Regions from separate parts of the Mus musculus genome. Here region 2 is reported to be linked to region 1. The links are microRNA targets in miRTarBase. Many come from high-throughput screens and were not tested one by one. Region 1 holds a microRNA gene; the other region holds the end of a gene's coding sequence.

Region 1 (4,151 bases):
CGTGCTGCTTCTCACATAGGCAAAGGTAATATTTTTAGTTTCAGATTTTTTATTTCCTTCAGTTCTGTGGTTTTAATCTACCTGGTTTAGAGAGGCGAAAGTAGATCCAGGATTTCCAGAAGAGAGATCTTCCTGCTTCAACTTTGGAGATGACTAGCCAGGCTGGCCTTTAACTCTCATTTCTGCCTGCCTCTCTGCCTCCAGATTAAAGGTCATCACGGCCATCTTCATTCTACTTTTTAAAAACTAGAGCCCCTTTTTTAAAAGGCAGGCTAGCCGCGAACTCAGCCTTCCTCGCTCGCCCCCACGGTTTGGCTGGGTTTACTAATCCCGAGGCAGAGGCAGGCCCATCTGAGGTTGGTCTGGTCTCCAAAGAAGACATTTAGAACTAATGTGTGTGGAAAAAGAGTTGGGCTTTTTTTTCTGACTTGGTCTACATAATTTCAAGGGAGGAACGAGCCTATGTGGGGAAAGTGAGTAGTCTGGGCGCGAGTGAAGTTTGGGGACCAGAAACCAAAGCTAGGAGTTACTGAGGGCAGGTCTAGGGAGTCTATGCAGTACATTTCATTAACTACGTGGTTTCATTGTAGAAATTTTGAGTTTCACTATACCTTGAGTTAGACCGATGTACTAACTCTTCCTTGATTTCATCCAGGTTTCCTTCAGGTTGGAGTGAATTTTAAGTTCTCCACGTTCTTTCCTCCTGGTAAATGTTTTAACGTCTGGACCGCCTCATCTTGCGGTACTCAAACTATGGGGGCACTTTTTTTTTTCTTTAAAAAGTGCCGCCTAGTTTTAAGCCCCGCCGGTTGAGAAAACGGCTATCTGGCACATTTACCAGCCCTGGTGCCACGTGTTCCGGGTTAACTGCAGCGTGGTGAGTACGGATTCGAAGAAAGGAATGAGACTGAGTATAGCGAAAGGCTAGGGATGGGCATCCTGCCCAGTAGACGGTAACTGAGGTGGTCGTTGTAGGGTACCTGGGGGCTCCATGTGCGTCCTGTCGCTGCTTGGAGCTGTTACACCTATGTAGCGGCCATCAAAGTGGAGGCCCTCTCTTGAGCCTGAATGAGAAAGTGCTTCCACTTTGTGTGCCACTGCATGGGGAAAACATCATAGCTTTGCATCTGACGCATCGGTTTACAGGAGCGGACAACCTGTGTGGGGGTTTAGGCTTGGAGTTTAATGGGTCCTATCCTAAAGAGGGCGGTTCAGTTGGGTGCCACGAGACGCGGATGGATGTAAGGCAGTCGTGAGTCCAGGTGCATTGTAGATTGTTCTTAAGCTTGACCTCCAGCCTGTGATACTCAAACTGGGGGCTCTTTTGGATTTTCATCGGAAGAAAAGTGCCGCCAGGTTTTGAGTGTCACCGGTTGAGAACTCAAAACGGCTAAGAACTAAGAATTAAGTTTTAGTGGGTCATGTTTTCACTGGGGTTGCATTTCTGGGCAGGTGGGTGTCACATGTGGGTTTGAGTCCGAACACTTGGGCGCATGCGGTACTAAAGGCTTTCCGCGTTCATAAAGGAGCCGGGATCCCACATGGGCCTCGCTCGGAGGAGCTGAGCCTCAGGTCTTGGAAGTTGGAACATACAGTGTCGATCAAAGTGGAGGCCCTCTCCGCGGCTTGGCGGGAAAGTGCATCCATTTTGTTTGTCTCTGTGTGTACATGGCGTCTGAAAAGCCGGCTGCAGCTGCAACCTGGAATCGCTTACCTGCTTGAAACAGGTATGTGTGCTGGAGGTGAATTCGTTGCCACTGGCTACTCGAGCTGCAAGGCTGGAGGTGAGGAGGAAGCAGGGCAGGGTGGAAGGAGGCACTCCAGGTCCAGGGGTGGTGAGTCTAAGCCTCAGGTCTGAGTAAAGAAAGGCCTACTTTTAAATCTCACGTGGCCGCCATATTAAGTCCTCTTTCAATTTTTTTCCTTTTTCTCCAAACAGGGTTTCTCTGTAGCCCTGGCTGTCCTGGAGCTAACTCACTTGTAGACCAGCCTGGCCTCAGCTCCATCCACCTGGGATTAAAAGATCCTATATATCTTGCTTGACTACTGTAGTTGCTATATCTTGCTTGACTACTGTAGTTGGACTGATGGTTGTGAGTCTTGATATGGTTGGATTGAATTTTTAGGACCTGCTGGCTGTAGCTGACTTTAACCTGGCTCCTAGCACAAACAAGCTTGGTGGACAGCCGGGTAGATAATACCCATAATACCTTTTGGCTTTACAATAGCCCAGGCTCATGAGGGCTGGGATTACAGGTGTTACATTGTGTGCCCTAAGCATAATCTTCATGGATTCTCTTTGTTTTTCAGGTGTTCCAGTTGAGTTGAATGTAATCCTGCCTAGCCTGGGGTACTTACTTGCCTTCAACCTGCCTGGCTGGCTGGTCTGGCTAAGAACTGACTATAAAGTTTCAGGTTTATTACCACAGCAGGTCCCTGTGGAAATGCTTCAATCTGTGGTACTCAAACTGTGTGACATTTTGTTCTTTGTAAGAAGTGCCGCAGAGTTTGTAGTGTTGCCGATTGAGAAACTGCAGTTGGCCTAAGTGTTGCATCATTTGGGTGTCATCTGTGGGTATGATTCAGTCTGTAATGGGGCAAAAGTAAAAGCTGAGGTGCACGGAACCTCACGGGAAGTGACCCAGATTTGACAGGTACTGTATTACATATAGCTGCATTTATCCTTTTGGCATTGAATAATCCTTAATCTTCAGTTCAGTTGTAGGCATGTTTGGATCTAGCGAAATTCCATATAGCCATACTCAAAATGGAGGCCCTATCTAAGCTTTTAAGTGGAAAGTGCTTCCCTTTTGTGTGTTGCCATGTGGAGAAAGCATCGGAACTTCAATCAACCAGAGACTCCTTGCTTGCTCATCTTGGTGAGACTCAAATGTGGGGCACACTTCTGGACTGTACATAGAAAGTGCTACTACTTTTGAGTCTCTCCTGTGGGCACCATTCACAGGTCGGCTGCTTTCATGCATGTGTAGTGTGTATCTGAATCCAGATGAAGGTTTCCTGGAACTGGGACATGTGGGTGCTATTGAATGAACCAAGGTGCTATGGGAGCAACCAGTGCCCTCAGCCTCCAAACATGAATAATAAAGTCTTGTTCTCTTGATTTTGCTGCTTTCTCAGTTTTTGTTTTAAAACACCCGCCATGGTTCCTAGGGATAAAAAAAGCTTGCAAGCATGCAAGCACCCTTTTAATCACTGGGGTTGAGACTAAAGGTAATCCTGGGCTATACAGAAAAACCCTGTCTGAAAAAATCCCCAAAAGTTAAACCAACACATAGCTGGAAGTGTTTTCAACAGTAATAGGGCACCTTTTGGGAGACACCCCTGTTTGCCTCTTGGGATTTAGGCATGCCACCCCTCCAATGGTTTTAAGGAAGAATTACCCTGTACTAGCTTAAAGGTGCCTTTAAGCATAGCCACATTTAAGCCCACATTTGTTTATATACTGTGAGTCTTTTCCATTTCTATACATCATGGCCAGTTCCTTTTAGTGGAGTGTCTGGATGGTTACAAGCTAACCTGAAATGGGGTGGTGCCAGGTTTTAAAAAGTAGTGGGTTGGGGAGCAGGGTGTGGGGGAGGATATAGGGGACTTCTGGATAGCGTTTGAATTTAATATAATAAAGGTAGATCTCTGGGTACTGTACTGGAAGTGGGCGGAGTTATCCCATTATAAGTGGTGGAGCTACCACGTGGTTGCTGGGAATGATGTCTGCCAGGCCTCACTAGTGTCAGGTCGTGAGTCATGCACAGCCATGATTTCTGCATCCTTGGCCACCTTGCTCAGTTTTCTGGAGTGTTGAGATTCAATGCGAACACCACCACAGCTGGGCAAAATCTAATAACCCAGGATAGGATGGGAGCATTGGCTGTCAACTATACCAGGTGTGCAAATCTTGGGTTTTGAGGCCTCATTTGTAAGGTGCCTTATACCTTTAGCCCCAGCCCACTTTTTTTTCCCCCTGCTGTATAAAATTCAGGTGTGAGTACAATTTTTCTTTTTAAAGATTTATAAGTGTTCTGTAGCTATCTTCAGATTCACCCAAAGAAGGCATTGGATCCCATTACAGATGATTGCAAGCCACCATGTAGTTGCTGGGAATTGAACTCAGGACCTCTGACTTAACCACTCCA
Region 2 (4,000 bases), not on the chromosome of region 1:
CGGCTATGTGGCCTAAAGACAAGACATCTGTTTCTGGGTCAAAAGAAAAGAGGGGCATTTTCTTCATGGCAAGGAAGTCTTGGACTATCAACCAATGAATTCTTGTTTGGGTAGGAACTGATTTACCTTCTAAAATGATTAAAACCAGAGTGTGTGTGAGTGGAGGAGCGAGCTGGAGAGATGGAGTAATGGATAAGAGCTCTGGCTGCTCTTGTAGAGGATCCAGCTTACACTCTCAGCATCCATAAGGTGGCTCACTGCCACTGCAGTTCAGTCTCAAGGGATCTGAGGCACCCCCTCTGGCCTCCAAGGGAACTGCATGTATGTGGTGCACAGGCAAAACACTATAAAATAAAAATAAACTAAAAAGTAAAACAAACCAAAACCAAAGCCTATGTTGATCTTCTTTGTCTTGAGTATCTCAGTGGGTGAATTGTGCCAAGTGTTTTCTCAAAACATCATCTTGAGATTTTAAGTCTGTGCTATGCAGATATCTCAGAGTCTATACTCTAATCACCAAGATATCTCAATATGCGTTTACATGGCATGGGGACTTTGCAAATACACTGCTGGTGGGGACCTTAAAATAGAAAGATTGCTCTGTATATTCTCGGTGGGTCCAGTCTAAGCATCGAATTTTCAACCTACAGGAACTTTTCCTATGGACATCAGAAAGATGTGGCAGGTTTAGGCTGGAGCCAGTCAGAGGGCGGGGCTGTGCTGTGTGTGTTTTAGCTGGAAAACAGAAGCTCCTGAGGATATCAGCACTACAGCTCTAAGGGATTGAGCACTAAATGAATTTGGAAGTGTCTTCTTCTCTCTTTCCTTCTGGGAAGGAAGGGTACCACCTGCCACCTTATTTTCAGCGTTGTGAAACTTTATCAGAGAATAGTCACGCTTTTCCAGACTGTTGACATATAGAAGGTGCAATAAATAAATAAAGAGCATCGTGTACCTCCCGGTGTTAACGGGCTGATCTAGTTTATTGTATTCTGAAAAACTTCCAATGTCCAATTACTCTTCTTCCTTACTATAAGATCCTGATTTTGGATGTGATGGCCTGGAATAAAGTCTACGGGCTTTGGAGGTGGTCCAGTGGTTAGAACACTTGCTGTGCACACCTGTTGGCCTGAGTTCATATTCCAGCCAGCCATAGTCCATGCATTTGTAATCCTGTACTTTAAGGAGAAGGCAGAATTCCAGAAGGTTCCAGCTAGCCTGGTGTACGCAATGAAAAATTAGAGTCCCTGTCTCAAACATAGTGGGAGGTGGGGTCCAACACCCAAAGTTGTCCCCCCTCTCTCTCTCTCTCTCTCTCTCTCTCACACACACACACACACACACACGTCCCAGGTGCATGCACATGGAAAATATGACAAAAAGGTAAGATTGTGAGATTGTTTCCTTGCCTGTCCTGGCTTGGTGTGGCCAAGTGTGACTCCATTCTGGCGATGAGATGCAATCAGAAATGTGTGTAGGCAGCTGTCAGCGGTCGGAAAACCTTTCAAGGAAGGAGCTGTGTTCTTTCTTCTCTCCCTTTTTCCAGCGCTGCTGGGATGTAATGCTGACCTGCACGAAGCCATCTTGGGCCATGAGGCGGCATGCCAGAGAGGCATCCCAAAAGGGAAGACTGGGCTCTGTGGTTCTAAGCAGCTGTTTATCCTGAACTCCCCAGCTGCAGACTCTTCCATGTGAGACAGAAATATTATCTTATCTTGTTTAAACTATTCTTCCTGGCCACAAAGTAAGGACAAATGCTGAAGGAAAGTGCTGCCCCTCCCCCTCTTGTCTACTCCCTACCCGCCTACCCCAGTGCTGGGGTTCAAACCCAGTGCTTCATGCGTATTAGCGTCTGCCTCTGAGTGACACCTCCATCCTTATTTCTTTCTTTGTTCTGTCTCTGTCTCTCTGTCTTTCTTTTGGACAGGTTTTACTATGGCTTGCCTGAAACTCACAGAGATCCACCTGCCTCTGTCTCCTGAATGAACACCTAGATTTTTATTTTAAAACCATAAACTTGCCGGGTGTGGTGGCACACGCCTTTAATCCCAGCACTCAGGAGGCAGAGGCAGGCGGATTTCTGAGTTCGAGGCCAGCTTGGTCTACAAAGTGAGTTCCAGGACAGCCAGGGCTATACAGAGAAACCCTGTCTCAAAAAACCAAAAACCAAACCAAAACAAAAAACCACAAACTTGCCCTGGTATTTATTTAGCACGAGTACTTTATATTATAGCACTTTAAAAACGTTGACTGCTATGCCCAGCTTTGAATTTATTTCTCTTCAGCATGCTGTAGTCCTGCAGTCCCTGTTTCACACCCTCACGAACAGGACAAGTCACTGTTTTAACAGCCGCAGCTCCCCAGTTGTTCTAGGTAGGTCCGTTCATGCTGGACCATTGGGACAACTGGGTAAAAAGAGTTTCTGATGTTGGTGGGATACTAGTTGGGGGAGATGAGTCATGGACTCCCAGGTAACAGGAGACCTTAAAAGAAGAGTAAGACAGTAGTAGAAGTAGAGGAAGAACGATGCGTTTGGGGGGGGGAGCAGACTACAGGGAAATTAGCTGGGAGACAGCTGGAGGAACTACATGTCGATCAAGAGTAGGGAGTGACTGAAATTCAGATTTCCAAGGTGGGGCAGTTCTAGGAGGTGGCTGAGGGAGAGGACATGTGGTTACTGATGACTCATTCGTGACCTTTGACTCTGCCTCCAGGTCTGTATACCTGCTCTAGTTTCCCCTATTAGCCAGAGCAAACACACACACACACACACCCAAGCCTCTGGTCAGGCAATGAGGGCCAGAGTCCATTGGGACCTGGCACAGATGGACGGCAGGATTCCTGCCTTCTGACTGTCCCAGTTTACCTGCAGAATGTTTACATGTTCAGGGTAGGCACATGGCCCCATCCTGTCTCTCCAGCTACGGATGCTCTGTGGCCTTCCCCACACTGCTTTTTTGTGGTTGAGCTGTCAGCCCTGTTCACAGGGTGCTGGCCGAGAGCTCTCATTGCTGGCATTCCTCACAGGATGGAGCCCGCAGGTACTATGAGGCTGGTCCATCTGGGCCCCTGTGGGAGCCTGTCAAGCTTACCTGCGCCACCTGTCACCAAATAGCGCTGAGCAGGAAGCTGGGGTGGAGAACAGGAGGAGTGGAGTCTGTGAAGAAGTGCAAGCTTCCCTCTTAGCAAACCCTGCCTTAAACTGGAGCTGCGGAGGGGCAGGAGGGGCAGCAGGAGACTGGGAGGGCGACCTGAGTGAGGCGTTTTGTCTAGAGGTTCCGTAGCTCTGCTCTGCTCCTAGCCTTGGGTGTTTAACTATGATCTCATGCAAGGAGGTGGGCCGTAGGCAGCCTGGAGGGGGCCTTTCTCTTGCTCCAAAGATACTTTGTTTCTGGGGCAGGGAAGGGCAGAAAGATGCTAGACATCTCCGTTTAAAGGCTTGGGTCCTCAGAGTGGGAAGATGAGGAAGCCTGAGAAGCTCGAATACTTCCAGCCACCCAGAAGATTCCCCCGACGCAGGCGCAGGGACACACGGTCCCCCGGGTCCAGGGGAAGCAGCACAGAGCTTGTGGCTGCCTCTCGGGTCACATCAGGGTCATTTGCAAAGGCTGAGATGACCGGCCATGTGTTCAGCATCAGACTCACCTGGGGAGGGGAGCCCAGTTAGCATCTATGTCCTAGTCCTTAGCTCAGGACACCCCGCCCCCCATCCTCCCAAGAGTTTTCTTTTGGGAACTTGAGGGTCAGTGGGCTCTCCAGTGAGCACTGAGGGGTGGCCAGTGTTGGGTTCTGTACATCTGCCATACCCTGCTAGCCTTTCCTCCCTTGCTCCTGGTCCCTGGGATACAGGTCCAACAGAAGGGCTATCCAGGGATGTGCTGCGGTCCACTATGACCCTCCCTTCCCCCCGGAGGTGGACTGGCACTTAGGTCACCTGGACAGTTTGGCGGTTGTACACCTTGACCACGTGGAATCGGAAGCTGTAGACTCCACGGACAGG

The links. Region 1 holds the annotated microRNA mmu-miR-292a-5p (ACUCAAACUGGGGGCUCUUUUG, at 1,306-1,327, shown strand). A microRNA usually pairs through its seed, bases 2 to 8, with sites in the 3' UTR of a target mRNA and lowers its output. Matches are read on the target gene's strand: a 7mer-m8 pairs with bases 2 to 8, a 7mer-A1 pairs with bases 2 to 7 and ends in A, and an 8mer does both.
Region 2: miRTarBase lists Cbln3 as a target of mmu-miR-292a-5p. Seed matches in the 3' UTR shown: 7mer-A1 at 2,150-2,156, 8mer at 1,251-1,258 and 7mer-A1 at 449-455.

The regions. Positions count from the first base shown.
Region 1 is chr7:3,217,895-3,222,045 of GRCm38, forward strand. Mir292 (microRNA 292) reads left to right here and starts at 1,295; the gene lies at 1,295-1,376. Nlrp12 (NLR family, pyrin domain containing 12) reads right to left here. Exons shown (of 10, transcript NM_001033431.1): 10 at 3,616-4,151. It overlaps Mir290a (microRNA 290a), which reads left to right and starts at 732; the gene lies at 732-814. It overlaps Mir290b (microRNA 290b), which reads right to left and starts at 801; the gene lies at 744-801. It also overlaps D7Ertd143e, Mir291a, Mir292b, Mir291b, Mir293 and Mir294, and 1 more gene.
Region 2 is chr14:55,879,533-55,883,532 of GRCm38, forward strand. It overlaps Cbln3 (cerebellin 3 precursor protein), which reads right to left. Exons shown (of 3, transcript NM_019820.3): 2 at 3,935-4,000; 3 at 1-3,645. The coding sequence ends at 3,448. Among named protein-coding and RNA genes, the nearest start is that of Cbln3, 2.7 kb to the right of the region's middle.